Linked DNA regions of Arabidopsis thaliana. The protein of the gene in region 3 interacts with the protein of the main gene of each other region in a pairwise test. Each region holds a gene or a part of one and is shown on either strand. Other genes may lie near its edges.

Evidence for each region.
Region 1: the proteins of BRC1 (region 3) and RVE2 interact in binary tests that used the Arabidopsis thaliana proteins (3 or more experiments, as listed by UniProt).
Region 2: the proteins of BRC1 (region 3) and bZIP43 interact in binary tests that used the Arabidopsis thaliana proteins (3 or more experiments, as listed by UniProt).
Region 4: the proteins of BRC1 (region 3) and WOX4 interact in binary tests that used the Arabidopsis thaliana proteins (3 or more experiments, as listed by UniProt).

What each region holds. Positions count from the first base shown.
Region 1 is NC_003076.8:14,750,844-14,755,091, reverse strand, and holds RVE2 (Homeodomain-like superfamily protein), read left to right. Parts: upstream 1-2,003; 5' UTR 2,004-2,119; coding exon 2,120-2,131; intron 2,132-2,591; coding exon 2,592-2,654; intron 2,655-2,743; coding exon 2,744-2,855; intron 2,856-2,986; coding exon 2,987-3,048; intron 3,049-3,133; coding exon 3,134-3,748; downstream 3,749-4,248. Other genes in the region: AT5G37250 (RING/U-box superfamily protein), read right to left, coding at 4,121-4,248. UniProt on the Arabidopsis thaliana protein: Positive regulator for cold-responsive gene expression and cold tolerance. Part of a regulatory feedback loop that controls a subset of the circadian outputs and modulates the central oscillator. Negatively self-regulates its own expression.
Region 2 is NC_003076.8:15,537,577-15,540,734, forward strand, and holds bZIP43 (basic leucine-zipper 43), read right to left. Parts: upstream 1,314-3,158; 5' UTR 1,227-1,313; coding exon 729-1,226; 3' UTR 565-728; downstream 1-564. Other genes in the region: AT5G38810 (F-box and associated interaction domains-containing protein), read right to left, coding at 3,030-3,158. UniProt on the Arabidopsis thaliana protein: Probable transcription factor involved in somatic embryogenesis. Acts as a positive regulator of BHLH109.
Region 3 is NC_003074.8:6,381,281-6,386,349, reverse strand, and holds BRC1 (TCP family transcription factor), read right to left. Parts: upstream 3,062-5,069; 5' UTR 2,924-3,061; intron 2,843-2,923; exon of another isoform or gene 2,814-2,842; 5' UTR 2,582-2,813; coding exon 1,909-2,581; intron 1,805-1,908; coding exon 1,709-1,804; intron 1,616-1,708; coding exon 1,080-1,615; 3' UTR 827-1,079; coding exon of another isoform or gene 746-826; 3' UTR 535-745; downstream 1-534. UniProt on the Arabidopsis thaliana protein: Transcription factor that prevents axillary bud outgrowth and delays early axillary bud development. Indirectly required for the auxin-induced control of apical dominance.
Region 4 is NC_003070.9:17,236,007-17,239,945, forward strand, and holds WOX4 (WUSCHEL related homeobox 4), read right to left. Parts: upstream 2,180-3,939; 5' UTR 1,948-2,179; coding exon 1,705-1,947; intron 1,486-1,704; coding exon 1,168-1,485; coding exon of another isoform or gene 1,156-1,167; exon of another isoform or gene 1,092-1,155; coding exon 897-1,091; 3' UTR 518-896; downstream 1-517. UniProt on the Arabidopsis thaliana protein: Promotes differentiation and/or maintenance of the vascular procambium, the initial cells of the developing vasculature.

The DNA.
Region 1 (4,248 bases), on a different chromosome or scaffold from region 3:
GCTAAAATTCAGTTTTGTCTTCTTATATTTACATCTAAGTTTATGTTTGATTATCTGAAACCCAAATTATCAAGTATTTTACGATTTTTTGAAATAAACGAAATCTGTTTATTTCCTTATTCAAATTTTATAAAATTTTGTAAGAGTGATTTGATTGAAAATGGACAACATTTGGAGACATTTTCAAAAAAAAATGTTATAAAAGGTTATTTTAAAATGCTTTCAAAAATATCAATATAATAAAGAGCGTGATTATATTTTAATTCAGAATTATTTAAGTGATCGAAAATATCATAAATTTTGTATAATTAGAGCATTTGTTCTGATATGCGACATATTTTACTATAATTTTATAGGAACCATATAAATTTAATTTTTTAACTAATTCCAGTTGCACATTTGTTTAGATGAAAATGATTTGATTGCTGCATGATATAATTTATTTACATTTAAGCATATATTTTATTCTATTTTGATGAATTGTGTGGTATTTTCGTACTTAAATTTTGATATATTGTATGTAATTGTACAACATACTCAATCATATGTTATTACTTCTAATAATTTGAATATGGACATACTCAGAAAGGTATCAAGGGCTCTTTCTCTAGCTATTGTTTCTCATATAATCTTTTCAAAATCATATATCATCACCAACTATACTCATCATTCTCGGGTACTATGAGCTCTAACTAGTGGAATGGTACTAGAACTTTGACACACCGTCTAGTTGAGATTATAGAAATTAAAGATTATGTTATATATAGTAGAAACAAAGTAGGCCAAATTCTTATAGAAAAGAATAAACAAAATTAATATAAAAGATAAATGAAAAAACGGTCTTGAATTATAAACAATTTGCTAGGTGTGATTCAACATTGTCTTTATTCAATACTTGTTGGGTCATAAACATTCAAATTGCATATTATTGTTACTCTAGTATTCAAATTGCATATTATGTTTTATCTAAACTAACTTATATATTTATTTTGATAAACATGTCATATGATATTAAACTTATTTTCAATTGATCATCTTCTAAGTTGATGCATTTTAGTATTTTATATTCAAATTTTGAGATCTTAGTATGTAATATATTTTCAGGTTTTTACTATTCATCAGTTTGATGATGCAAATATACATAGTACGAATAAAATGAGTGAAATTGTTTAATTATATGATCAGGAAGAAAAAATAATATTCCAAAATCCAAATTTTAGTGGGTAATTCTTAGCACAAAAACAAATTTTGTTTCCAAATATATCACATATTTTTCAATGTTCCACAAATAGCATTAATTGTTGAAATTTGTTATGAATAAGAATATGTTCTATAACATTATATGAATTAGAATTATCAATAGATAAAGTGTGTCAACTCAAATCGCTAAATTGTTGAAAACAATTTAATAATATATTCATTTAATATATTCTCATGTCAATATGATATGATTAGATCTATTTAGTGAGATCTTATTTAATTGTTAATTCTAATAAAACAAAAATAGTGATTATATTACTAATAAATAATATAATTGTTTAATCTTATTTTATGGAACTGTATTTCTCAACTTCAATTAAATACTGTACCTAAACCTAAAATTAAATATGCAATCAACTTGATTAATAAAAAACAACAAAATGGGGTAAGAAGTAAACAACGTTGTTAAACAAGACACGCGCTCACCAGTCGCGAGTTTGGCAATAATCATGAAATGAGCTTCTTTAAAAAAACTTTCTAGTAGATAAATTAAACAATTAAAAATCTCCGACAAGATTTAACAAAGAACAGATAATATCTTCTCCGCAAAGACAAAAGTGAAAGCGAAGAAGAAATCCTCCACGTGTCATTAGCATCTTTTAACCTGAGCCACATGATACTAGTTTCTCGAAACCCCTCTTTACGCTTTTTCACCCAAATTTTTATAAAAAGAAAAACATTATGCTTACGTGGCTTATCTTCTTCTTGCTCTTTTAAAGTAACCCCTTGACTCTGCTCCTTTCATAAACAACAACTCTCTCACCAATCTCAAAACAATTCTCTCTCTCTTTATTCTTCTTCTTCAGCTTCAGATTTCAGATCTTAAATCTTCAAGTCTTCTTCTTCTTCTTCTGCAACCATGGCTATGCAGGTTTGAGATCTATCTTCTTTGTTATTCTTTATGCAATCTTGATCTTGGTTTTGTTACTGTTGTTATGTTTCAAGTCTTGTGGAATCCAGACAGATTTAACCTAAACTTAGGTTTATGTCCGAGAGAAAATAGGTTATTTTGTTATCTAATTTCAAGTTTAATCTCTTTGTCTGAGAGAACTTGGAACTGAAGATTATTCGATTGTGGCAGGTTAAAAATTGTGTTAATAGACCAGGCGATTATGTGGGATATTATGGTCGGTTGTTTTAAAGAGAGATTACTTCTTTCTTAATGTATTGATCCGTATTAGGTAAGAACATGTCTCTAATCCCCTAATTATTACTGGTGGTCTACCTCTTCTAGTTGCGTATTAATTAGTTTTATTAGACTCTTTGTAACATTTAATTACTCTTACAATATATTAAGAGACTAATTGTGTTTTCTTACTTTGTGATTATAGGAACGTTGTGAGAGTTTATGTTCTGATGAACTTATATCTTCCTCAGATGCCTTTTACCTCAAGGTACTAATTTTGTTTCTTAATCTCTTGTTTACTCTTGATTGGTTTTGAACTTAAATATGAGGTTAATTTAGGGTTTGTTTTGTTTATAGACAAGAAAGCCTTATACCATCACTAAACAAAGAGAGAAATGGACAGAAGCAGAGCATGAGAAGTTTGTAGAAGCATTGAAACTCTATGGCAGAGCTTGGAGACGAATCGAAGGTGTGTGTGCTTATCTGACTTTAGAGAGTCTAATGCACATTCTAATCTAAGTTTGATGAAGATATAAGAAAACTACTTGGACCCTAGTAATGAGTAGAGATCTGACTTTTGTTGGTTCTTCTATGGAACAGAACATGTTGGAACAAAAACTGCAGTTCAGATTCGAAGCCATGCGCAGAAGTTCTTTACTAAGGTTTGCCTTCTTGCAGACCCTTATACATGAAAAAGTTTCAACCTCTTCGTGTTAAGCAAGGTCTAATTCAAGTTTTTCTTATTAGGTTGCTCGCGATTTTGGTGTTAGCTCTGAGTCCATTGAGATCCCGCCTCCAAGGCCAAAGAGAAAGCCGATGCATCCTTACCCTAGAAAGCTTGTGATTCCTGATGCAAAAGAGATGGTATACGCTGAACTAACCGGATCCAAGCTGATTCAGGATGAAGATAACCGATCTCCAACATCGGTTTTATCAGCTCATGGCTCAGATGGATTAGGTTCCATTGGTTCAAATTCACCTAACTCTTCTTCAGCTGAGTTATCATCTCACACAGAGGAATCATTGTCTCTAGAAGCAGAGACCAAACAGAGCCTTAAGCTCTTTGGAAAAACTTTTGTAGTTGGTGATTACAACTCTTCAATGAGTTGTGATGATTCTGAAGATGGCAAGAAGAAGCTATACTCAGAAACACAGTCTCTTCAATGTTCTTCTTCTACTTCAGAAAACGCTGAAACAGAAGTGGTAGTGTCGGAGTTCAAAAGAAGTGAGAGATCAGCTTTCTCTCAGTTAAAATCGTCGGTGACTGAGATGAACAACATGAGAGGGTTCATGCCTTACAAAAAGAGAGTAAAGGTGGAAGAAAACATTGACAATGTAAAATTATCATATCCTTTGTGGTGAAGTGTTCGTTTGTGTCAAGTCAGTTGTGTAAACTCTTTTGATCTCAACATCAGATTATGTGTATAATGTCAGAGTATTAGGGAAAGTTTTTTTGGATTAGATTCGTAAGATCACTCCAAAGTTTCGTGTCTTTCCATATAACCAGTTAGAAATTGAGATCCTTGTACTTAAACATTTTTATTTGATCAATCAAATCTTCTTGATAACTCTAAATTGTTGTACATAATAGTAGTCTCTATCAAGCATTTCATTCGAAAGGATTAACAAAAAAGATTAGGTTTACAAAAAATACATCAAAAGCAAATGTTTGAAACATAGAAACAAGTAATGCATCATAAACCCTAAGACTAGCTTCAAGTCTCTGTGACGGTTTCACTCTGTTTCAAGATCTTCCTCGTACGGTACTCGTCGACACAAAGGACACGACCTCTGACGCTTAAGCCACTCAAAGATACAATTTTGATGGAACAAATGGAAACAGTCAGGTAACAGAATGATGT
Region 2 (3,158 bases), on a different chromosome or scaffold from region 3:
ATCAATAGTGTAATTTAGGTTTTTAAAAAATAGCATTAACTGCTTTCTAAGCCAAATCTTGCAAAACCTCAGTCCATGCACTACCAATACAAGGTACTAAAATAAAATAAAATACAAGGTACTAAAATACTACAGATAAAAGCTCTTCTTTGCTTGACATAATTAGATTTACGAGAGTTTCACACACAAGTACACAACCATGTAAGGTCTTAATTGTTTTTGTTTGCGTTAGATTTACGTATTTGCTTTTCATATTCTTATTATTTTAATCACAATCTTAATTCTTTTCTTAATAATTTTTCAACATAAAAATGCAAATGGAAATGGAAGAAAATAAACCGTTTACGGCTGGTGTATATTTTTTTCAAAGACACTACTTAAGCCAATTTAGAAAGAACAAAATTGGTCATTATAAACGTAAAATTTTAAAGAGAAAAAGAAGAAAGTCTACTGTTAGTAATTGATGCTTGTATTTACATTTTGCAAAAATATTTATGCATGTAATTTTTTTTAAAATTATACTTCAGCAATGTGAATTTTTATCGTTTGTTATGCAAACAATTGTGAAACAATTTCTTACTTCTATTCACGGGCAACACAAGTTTGAAGAACTCTGCTTTAACAATTACTAATTTAGAGTCTTAATTAAATCTTAAGCTGAGACAGATCTCTGGATATACATTTGTTGATACATACTAGAGCCCCAAAAAAATAAAAATAAAAATCATCTATACAACGTCGTCGTCGTCTCTGATGCAAGAGAAAGGACTCTGATTCTGAAGCTGCATATCACTAATCATTTGCTTAAGCTCAGTGGTTTCCTCTTTGAGCTGAACATTCTCTTCAATAACCTTCTCTTGAGACTCTAAAACGCAGTTAAGCTTACGAAGCAGCTGATGATTCTCATCCCTAAGCCACATCACCTGTGACCAAAGCTCATCCACTTGTCTCTGCTTCCTCATACGCGATCTTCTTGCCGATTCTCTGTTAGATATCTTCCTCTTTTGCTTCCTCTCATTTATTATCTCCTTATGATTCTCTTCTGCTTCATCTGAGGTCGAGTTGTTGCTGCTGATCAAACTCATGAACTGTGAAGTGTTCACGCCAGTTTCGAAGCTGAAGAATGGATTAGGGTTTTGTCCGCAAAATGGTGAGGATGTAGGAATATGGGAAAGGTACGAAGGTGGACAACCATGGAGGCTAAAAATGTTGGTGGATGGTTGCATTATCGGTGGAGACTTGGGACGCAAGGTAGGGTTTACTCTTAGGTGATGGAAGAAAAGAAAGATTGTAGGATTTAGGGAATTGTGATGAATGTTTGGTGTGTGTGGTGAGAAGAGGTGTTCATATAGACTAGTAGGGGGACAATTGTGGACCATGGTTTCTTCATTTGGGTCAAACCAATATAAAAGCATCTAACAATCATGCAGCTAAAACGTGTATTTATATAACTTTATTTATTATTTAAAAACACGATCTATTTTTTCACCTATAAAATTATTGAACTACTTAGAACGAAATCTAAATAACTTATTTTTTAAAGCCTGTCTAAGATTTATTAGAAGTTGGTTGAAGTCTTAGGGTGAAAAATGGCTTTGTAAATGAATGATTGGGATTAATTGAGTTTTTCTTTTCTTTCAATGGCTAGGAAACAAATTGTTTTTTTTTTGTTGTGTGGAAATTTCAAATATCTTTCAACTTATTTTTTAAAACCTATCTAAAATTTATGAGAACTTGGTTGAATTTTTGGGGTGGAAAATGGTTGTGTGTAAATGAATGACTGGGAATAATTGAGATTTTTCTTTCTCTCAATGGCTAGGAAACAAATTTGTGTTTTTTTTTTTGGAAATTTAAAATAACTTTCAACTTATTTTTCTGCAAAATAGTAGATAAATAAATTGAACAAACTACTTTTATAATTTGGTCAATTTTTTTCAATTTTGAGTTGAATGAATTAAATCATTTTTTAATAATTTATTCATCTTAAATAGTAAACGTTTGGAGAAATTTCAAAATGTCCATTTTCTAATACCGTACCACCACTTTTTGAAAATGACTTCTATCTAAAATCTTTTAAATATTTTATTATATTAAGCTTGGTTTAATATATATACATGTAAAATTACACATTTAGAAAAAAGTAATTAAAGCATATAATATTTTATAGAAGTGTCGGATTGACACATATAGCAATCATGCGTAATTCTTCATTTTCGTCGTATTTTGCTAAAAGTTCGACCTATGTAATTAGATTCTGTTAGGGGAAGGGTGGTGATTTTGAAATTTAACCTTTTGAAACCCAAGAAACATATGGGCTTTTATAACCATCCAAATTTATATTATCTTTAATTTTTTTTTAGTGTTGTTAGAAAAAAAAAAAAATATTACGTGATGGACTTAATTAGTACTAGAGGAAAGCATCTCATCAAGAAGAACAGAAGAAGCATAAACAGACCTATGAATGAGACCTTGAAAAGGTTGAGAGAAAACAAATTTAAGAAGCTAAGTGTCCAATTCTTTTGCATATTTGATGTGTTCGTTTAGTTTTAATAAAGCATAAATCTTTGTTCATAAGATCTCAACAGAAAATGAACTACAAATCTCTAATCAATCTACAGTGGTATTCATATCACATGACTTTCTTGTTTTAACATCAATTCTGACAATTCAACTATTCAATCATTGACCACATCGGTTTCTTAACAATCAAGTTATTGGATATAGAGAGCCCTCTTCACCTAGGTAAAACCTCATAGGCCTTTTGATAACCATACAAAAAAATATTAGTTTGCTCTCACTCTACGCCAACAGGGTGATAAAGCTCACACGTAAGTAACCTGTAAATGACAAGTAACACTCTTAACCAAAATAGCTTGACTCGTTGGCTTGGCTTTCAAGATAAGATCCTCACTCTGAGTTACCTAGTAAATCGTACTTGTTCTGCAGGAGGATTGCCTGCTTGTTCTTTACATGTCGACGTTGTTGTGGTTTTGACTTGAGTTGCTTCGAATCGTCAATACTAAGATCCTCTATATAGTCAAAGGCAAAAACATTGCGAAAATATTGTCGTTTCTAATCCGATTGACCTTAATCTTCGGCAAGGAGTAGATATACTGTGACCATTCCTGTTTCTCAACATCCTCTAGAACCCACACACA
Region 3 (5,069 bases):
GAGTAAACCAAACTCTCCAAATTAAGTAACTCAAACTTATCACAATAGAGAAGTAACTTACTACTCCCAAGACATTTCGATTTATTAGAGCAGAACTTATCATTGGTTAAGGGAAAAAGCAAATAGCTTCACATCAGTTATAAAAAATATATTTGAAAATGATAAAGTTTCCACGTAATATATTACACAAATTACGCATATATGAACTTGTCTGTATACAATGTACGTTAACCCACTTATACATAGATCACAAGCCTAGTGATACCCGATACGTTTGTCGATCGCATTTAACTTAATAGGCTTGAAAGGTTTTGAATTGCCTGATTACTAGAACTGACGTCCAGGTCTCAGAAGGAATATAGATTGAGAATGTATTGAATCATGAATCTTAACTTATATAATTTTGTCATCAGTTTGTCACGTTTCCTTTTGTTTTTGTCATTTGTTGTATTCCTAAAAGCAAACGATAGACAAACTTAACAACACAGAGATAATATTAACAAACAACGTTTAAAGGATACATATCAGTTAAAAATCCACTCGAACTATGAAAACAAAATATTATACAAATTGCATTAATTTCTTCACATAGGTTTAATATTTGACACTAAAATGACGAAAAAGCCTTCATATAAACATGATTAATTACGATGTTAAGAAAAAAAAACATAAGATGGATTAACATATCTCTCTCACCAAACTATATATCATTAATTTGAGATATTAATGTTAAATGAAATCAGTTTCAATACATGTTTTGATAGTTGTGCATGAGGTCTCTTGGTTTCGCGCCGAAGGAGTAATGAAGATCCGTAAACTGATGCTGCTGCAAGGTACATAGCCCCAAAAAAAAAAAAATCGATGAAAATTTGAACAATAAAAACCATAATAGTATAACCAAGTCAGTTAAAAAAAACCGGCGCCTTTGAATCGCTGATGTGGAACTAGATAGTAATAACCAAGTACCAATCCACAAAACACAAAAACTAACTTCTAATTAAACTATATATAGCATTAATTAATCGATGGTGGTGCATTAGTGTCATTGAATTTGATATACCCTACCTCTAAAACTTGAATTAACTGTGTATAGCTTTAGATAAAACCATTGGAAAAAAACTCATAAAAATTATAAATGTGACTCGTAGATATAAATAAGGTACCTCAATGGAATTAGCTGCTCCTTGGCTGCGATGGTGGTTAATCACTGGGAATGATGAGTTCGGTTTGTAGTTGACTAAGTCATAAGATTCATTTGAAATGTGATCTTTCTTATTCATGATAAATTCGTTGCAAACTGCAAAACGATCGTTCTTGCAAAGTTCTTCGATCTTGTCTTCGCAGTGTGTCATCTCAAAAGAACTCCGATTCACTTGGCTTCTATTATTATTCTTTATTATCTCACCATGATCATGAGCGTCTTCTTCCACAACTTTCACTAATTGTGATCTTCCTTTCATCTTCATCATCATTTTCTCCATTGTTCTACCCTTTGCTCTTTCTCTAGCTTTCGCTCTCTCCTCCTTGGACAACTTCTTTAAAATGGGCGTTCGCGGTTCTGGCCTCTTTCTCTTCCCTCTCATCGATCTCCCATCGACCTTGTTTCCTCTTGTTTCTAATGTATAAGATAATTTATCTTTTGTAACATTTTGATAGAAAGTACTCTATATATAATTGTAAATCAGAAAGGCAACGGTTAAGGTCGTACCGGTCGTGTTAGTATTGCTGCCTCTATCGTCGACCGTCCACATGGATGCAAGTTCACATAGATCAGAAGATGTGTCCATGGATCCTAACACCGGTCCTTAATTAATTAGGAAATTTACAATTTTCAGATTATGATATAAAAAAATTCATAGAAGTTGAAAACTTGAATAGACTTAAAACTAGAAAAGAATGGATACTTACGGATATGAGACTCATCGCCGCTGCTGAAGCAGCCATGGTGAGAAAGGGTTGTCGCGATCTTTATGATCTCAGGTTTTGCTTGTGTAAGCAACCATTCAACGGTTTTGCTGGCTTTGTCAAATCCAAGCATGTCTTGTAAGCCAAACAACTCTTTGGCGACATCTAGCGAGAGTCTCATCCTACGATCTCGTGTCCCTTTGGCCGTTTTGATCTTGCTGTGCCTGTCCGTTCTGCTGGGTTTCTTGGCTTTTTTCATTTTTGGGTCTTGAGAAGTTGAGATTCTCTGGGAATCTTCTATAAGGTTTATAGTTTCCGAGGGCTCAGTGGGTTGTTCTACAATGGTGTTGTTCAAGGGAAAGTGAAGTGATGGATGATGATTGTCGTTTGGGATGGTTTGGTTATCATCATGGCCATTGTTTTCTGGGTGGAAAGAGGTGAGGAGGGCGCAGTCCGGGGCAAATTCGAAGTGAGAAAAAGGAGAAGGTTGTTGGAATTGATGATGATGGTCAAGATGATTGTTTGATGTGTTAGAGGTGGAGTGAATCAAGATGTCGTTAATGGAAGAAGAAGGGCTAAAAGGGAGCAATGGTTGTGAGGAATAATGGTCATTATAAGGGAATAACATGTAGTCGTCATTGATGGTGGTAGTAGTACTGAAAATGTTGTTGTTCATGCCTTTTTAGGGGTTTTTGAAGTAACAAAATTAAAAAACCCTAAGACAAAATTTTGAGAATGACACTTGTACTATAATCTTCTTCAGACACACAAGAAAAAAGAGAAGAAAATGAAAGAAAGTTTGAATCAAAGAGAAAGGTTACTGTTCCAATGACGAAGACATTGATCTCAAGTCTCAACCAAAATGAAAACAAGAAAATTAGAAAGAGAGATTTCTTTTTTTCCTTAGCCTGCAAAATCAAGAAAAAAAAAGAGCAGTAATAGTGATTAGTCAGATAGTACAATATGTCTTTGTTCTAGAGAATCTATGTGTGTGTCTAAATGTGTAGAGAGAGAATACCTTTATCGAAGCAAAGGACTAATGGTTGAGAAAGACAACACAGGCGACGTACTTAAATGAGTCTATGTGCTATGAACTAGAATGGAGAGAAAGAGAGAGAAAAAGAGAGAGAGAGGGAGAGCTATATGGAGAGAGAGGCAAAGAGATCATTATGGGGGAAGGAACAACATATAAGCCTTTGAAAAAGCATTTATTTTGTTTATATATTTTTCTTAATTCCTAGCTTCGGCATGATAAAAATATATTCGTTTTTGTTTTTTGTGAAAATGTGATAATAGATGTTCGTTTTATTTGATTATCAAGATTTTTTTCTATAATTAGGACCTTGTGTTTGTTTATGTTCTTATATTTCTTTGAGATAGTTCATTACTAATATGTAGATAAGAACTCAGTATAATTATTTGATAGATATTAAATTGTTGACAGCTATATTTCAACTAATCAAAGATTGTATATATCTTTAAAATTAATAGCATGCACTAAAAGATGCCTAAAAATAGTTAATTCAATATAAAATATTTCACTGTATTTACTATAGAATATATGTTATAACTTTAGGATTTAGCTAGAATAATTAATATTACAGTTTCTTGACAGAACATATATTTACCAATTACATTAACATTTCACTTTAAATAAACAGATCTTTATTTAAATTATTGAAATGACATTTAAAATTTAGTTAGATAGATTTTTCCACATTGATTATATTTTTTAATATTTTTAGTAGATAAAGATCAAGGTATAACTAAATGAAAGAAATAAAAGGTAATGAGATTTAATTTCACCCAAAAATAGACATATAAATGTATGTTTGCATATTAAGAAGATCAAAATAAAAAGTTGAATAGAAATAAATATGAGATAAAATTAAGGATAAATTTTATTATTAGTTATGCCTTTATTTGGAAAAGGATTAATAGAAGAAAAGTTAGAAGATTTTAGATTATGTCTAAAGGAAATAGGAACAAGGAATATATAATTAAAATATATATAAAATATTGATTTGCATTTCACCGTAAGAAAGAACTAAGGTCAAATAAAATTATAAAGTTTTGTTTGGTGGTATTTTTCAAAACACTATAAACAACTTTTTCATATTTTTAAAGAGTATTTTGGTGTAATTCTTATGACTTCATATGTACACTAACTATTGATATATTGCATTTGTTCAGATAACAATTTTTGTATCTCTATCTAATAATTTTTATACATAGGACACAAATATTGTTATTCCAAAACTTCTATCCATTCTTAAGTCCAAATCTTTTATTTGTTGTTTCATAAATAAAAAACTTATACTAGATCAAAAAAAATATTTGACAAAAAAATCTTATATTAGATAATCTATCGAACTGAATGGGTTGTAAAAACTGAATCATCAATCATGGCGATCCCTCAAGAAAACCATACAGATCAGTAATATTTTTTAATTCCATTTTCTTGTGCCAACTTTTAGGTTTAAATACATTTATTTATTGTTGTAAAATATTATTAATTGTATTTTAAAGTATAAAATATGAATTCTTATATTATAATATATATATATATATATATATTATTGAGAATATCAAATAAATTTAAACACTGTTATAACAATTTATATCCATCATGGATGTTTCTCAAAATTAAGTATAGACATAGATGATTGTTCTAAATTGATTGTTATGCAACATCCTCTTCTGTAAATTATTAGTAAAAAAGGGTAGCTCCTTTTTCTTACGTAGACTTATTGGAATCCAATTGAGTTCAAATAGCAAAACTGACGAACGCATTGGACGAATTTCTCTTCTCTTCTTTTACCAAAAAAAAAAAAAAGAATTTCTCTTCTTTTTTTTTATGTAAAGAAACAAAAAACATCTCTTTGTTTTCATATTTGTGATACAAAACTTGAAAACAAGATCAAAACTCGGATTGGAATTTTTGGTCTCATATCACAAAATCCTTCTTCCTAGCTCTAAGACATTGATTTTCATGATATGGAGAAAATAATCTTTTTGCTATAGGAGAGTTAAAATACAAAGTTTCATTTTCAAATTGGAGGAATGCACGTGGCTGTGTGAAGCCCTAAGAAAAGAAGGCTGCAATAATTTTAGGAAGAAAAGAAAAAAGCTTTGCCTCTCTGTTCAGTATTGCATGACCGACC
Region 4 (3,939 bases), on a different chromosome or scaffold from region 3:
GTATGTATAGAAACAGCTAGCTAGCATGCAATGTAGCGGGAAAGCGAGTGCATGGACTTCAGTGAGTGTGTCTCATATAATGCCATTTCAACTTTTAACCTAAAAAGCAAAACTCTCTCTTTGTTTCAACCAAAATACAAAACAACCACTTGCGAGAGTCAATAAAGCATCAGACAAACAACTAACCACATACACACCACAGCTTACATATATTGATGTCTTTGTACACATTCCATTGGAAATATCAAATTCTTGAAAAGATTCTTCTTGTTATCATCTCATAAACTTATTTAGTATATATTTATCAAAAATAAAAAATTAATATAAATATTATTGAGTCACCTGTTTTACTAAGAGTTTTAATATAAGTATATAACAGTACAAAAAGTTTTAGATTTCAATGTTTGTTTATATAGAAATATACTAGGTCTACCCCCTTTTCAACGGGAAATGCTATTATTATTTCCTTTTAACTTCTTGCTCTTGTACGTACGTAGGAATTAAGACAGAGATATTATTTTAACAACATCAAATGTGTCTTTATTCAGAAATTTCTCTAAATGAAACATTCCTACATACCAACGATCTAGAGAAATACTTAGATGGCCAAATCAGAAGAGAGTACAACTGATCACTAGTGAATTTGTCAAGAATAAACGCGAAAAAAAGATGAGCTAAACTGAGCATTCATAATTAAGATTACATCGCAAAAATAATCTACATAGGATACATCAAACTCGCAGATTAATAAGGGAATTCTTAAGTAGATTTTGTAGTTTTAGAGACTTATTCCTATTTTTATTTTTATTTTGAATTTCTAGATACCAATTGATTCCTCTGAACCTAAACCAGATCTACATAAGAATTCCACAATTTTCTGCCTCACCTTCATGACTTCATCTCCCTTCAGGATGGAGAGGAAAAAGCTCGAGGGTTACATTGTCAATGATTTTATTAAAAGTAGTTGCCATAGTACTACTATTTTTGTTTCTCCTGTTCTCTATCTCCAAGTTCTCAAATCCCCAGCTCCTACATGTCCTCTTGTACTCATTCTCTTCCACTAACTCCTCCTTCTCCACCATTGGTTCTCTCTACACAATCATAAAAATTATCCTTAAATATAGTTGATCAAAACCACAAAACTATACAAAATCCTTAAATTCCTACCATAATGTCTAGTGACGATGATGTTCTTGTCTTCATAGTTACACTCGGATTAAAGACACCAGTGGTCGTGAAGCTGCTTTGGCAACTTAGGCTGATGAGGTTGTTCCTCTTCTGCTTCTGTCTCTCGCGGGCTTTGTGGTTCTGGAACCAATAGAACACATTTTTCCCTTCGATTTTCCCGTACTTACCGAGTTGCAATGTGATATGCTCAATCTGTTGAGCATTAGGAGTACGCATTCCACCTTTGTACAACATCTCAAGTATCCCTATCTGTTCTTGAGTCGGGTTCCACCTTGTCCCTCCCGGGTGCGTCTCCAACTGAACCCACACATTATTTCATTACATTTGTTAGGAATCATACATTAAAATAAATAAATAAAATTAATAATAAAAGGAACCACTCCAGTCGTTATAATTTATAAATGTCAAAGTATTAGGTATGCCGCAATTATCAAAATTCTTCTAGAGTGAATTCTTCTTCTTTTTTCAAACGAAAGAAACGATGTAAAATGTACGAAGTACAATAATGGAACTGACTTGATGAGGAGGGTCTCGTTTGTGTTCAAATTTTGTCGGACCGGTTTGATCGGGTCTAATGAAGTTTTTAAGGTCAAAAGTGGCTGAAGTGACGCCGGAGGAAGAAGAAGGAGGGGAGGGAGGGCTGCCGGAGAGCTTAGGGGCGAGAGGACGGAGGCGTTTGCAGCTTAGGCTAAGGGATGATGTCGAGTCATGTTGATCCCACGATGAAGAAAACCCATTCGAAAACTCATGAACCTTCATTGCTATATGTTAAAACTAGCAAATGCTATGCATGCCTTTCTCGTTACAAGACTTAAGCTATGTATATATAGAGGAAGATAAGTGTGAAATGATAGTGTTAGTGTATAATGATATCATTGGTGATATCCAGTTGGGTAGGAAAAAGAAAAAGAATGGAAAATGAACAGATGATTTTTACAAAAGTGGGACGTCGGGAAACCAAAGACCAAATGATGGGATATGGTTGACTTTTATCATTTAAAATCTCCTTGTCCTTATTGTAAATATATACACTCAGAAATGTAAAAGCAATAGGTAAAGAACAAATTTGAAACTAATTGAAGACAGTGATCTTTGTTTGAGAAAGTGAAATCTCATTGTGTGAATATAGATATGCGTACGTGTGTCTCTACATACACGTAATACATGCGTACGTGTGATATCTGATATGTTCATGTCTGCATGGAGCACTACTTTAAATTCGGCATAGTAATGTATCAACCAAATTTTAGTTTCATGCTTACGCATGTCATGCGTGAATACCGCATAATTTATCTCTCTTATAAAATTTTCCTCTACTTGTAGTTGTAGTCTATAGTACTATGTCTTGAGATCCTATAATTTAGGCAGAATGTTGAGGGACATGAACCACGCTAAAAATAATATGTTATAGATACGTGATATCAAAAGACTTTACTATTCATTGAGATTGACATTGACCTACGAGCCAATAGGTTTGCTTTTACAGGAAAAAGGTTTGAATTTTTTTTTTTTGGGATCAAATTCTAACAAATGCATGTGATTTATTAGAAAAATCCCAAACCAAAGCTTGACAATCTTTCATTCTACTAGTTGTATAGGGACATAATTTCTCTCTCACCTTTCTTTATTTTAAGAAATTATTTTAGAAATAAAACACTGAAAAAAGTTAGCTTTAATGATAGGATGTCGAATGCTTTTCGGTGGCTCTCAAGTCTCAACTACTTTATTTAGAGAAAAGAAGAATGAGAAGAAGAATGAATAAGGGGAAAAGGTATCTTCCAATCCCAATACTCGAAATTGCTTTTATTACTTTTGTTAAGATACGGATTTTGCCTAAATTAGTGGTAGTTTATAATGAGCCAGGACAGACTTTTATGCGGAAAAGAAAAGGCTAGAAATATCTTAATGTTATATTATCATTGTTTATTTTGATAATAATACATCATTATAAATTTAAGCTTATATGTTTATTAGATATTGATACAAAAGCATGGTTTGGTTTGGCAATGTCAAGCGTCCCATTCACTTTAGATCAGTGTATTGTATTGTTATTCTCTTGTACATCGGGAACTGCAGAACCTCAATTTCCCAAGTAATTTGGGTATTTTACTAATGAAAAGTAGTAACGTATGATATTCCGGAATTACAAAGTTTTTTCTTCTAATTACTTTTGAGTTTTGACTAATATATCATCATCTTTTTATTTGATATGTAGTCTAGAATTACAAAGAACAGAGACCTTGAGTATGAACTGTGAAGAATAGTCAAAATTATTTAGTCTCGGCTAATCCAGTTATGATGCAAGTATATGTACAGTACGAAACTTACACTAATATATATGGATATCAAAGTTATGAAGGTGGAAAGTCACAGTTCATATCACTGGTTAAAACATAAAAATTGATATCATGGAGGAAATATAGAAGTACCAGTGTAGGTTGATCATGACTAATAGCTAAAATTAATAACATCTTTATCCTATGAAGATGGATTTTTTTATAGAAATTTCACATTTTTAAAAAATAATGTATACTGACAATTTTAACCTTTTAATATATTTTAAAAATAATAAAAAATATTTATCTACTTATTTACTTAGGATAAAACAGGTAAACAATTTTAAAATTTATATTAAAAATACAAAATTTGTATCTTTGTGGGACAATTTTTTTCCATAGAAAATTCATCTTTGTTGGACGGAAGGAATATGAAAGCTCAAAGTTCTAAAAAGACTGCTCTATCATTCATCAG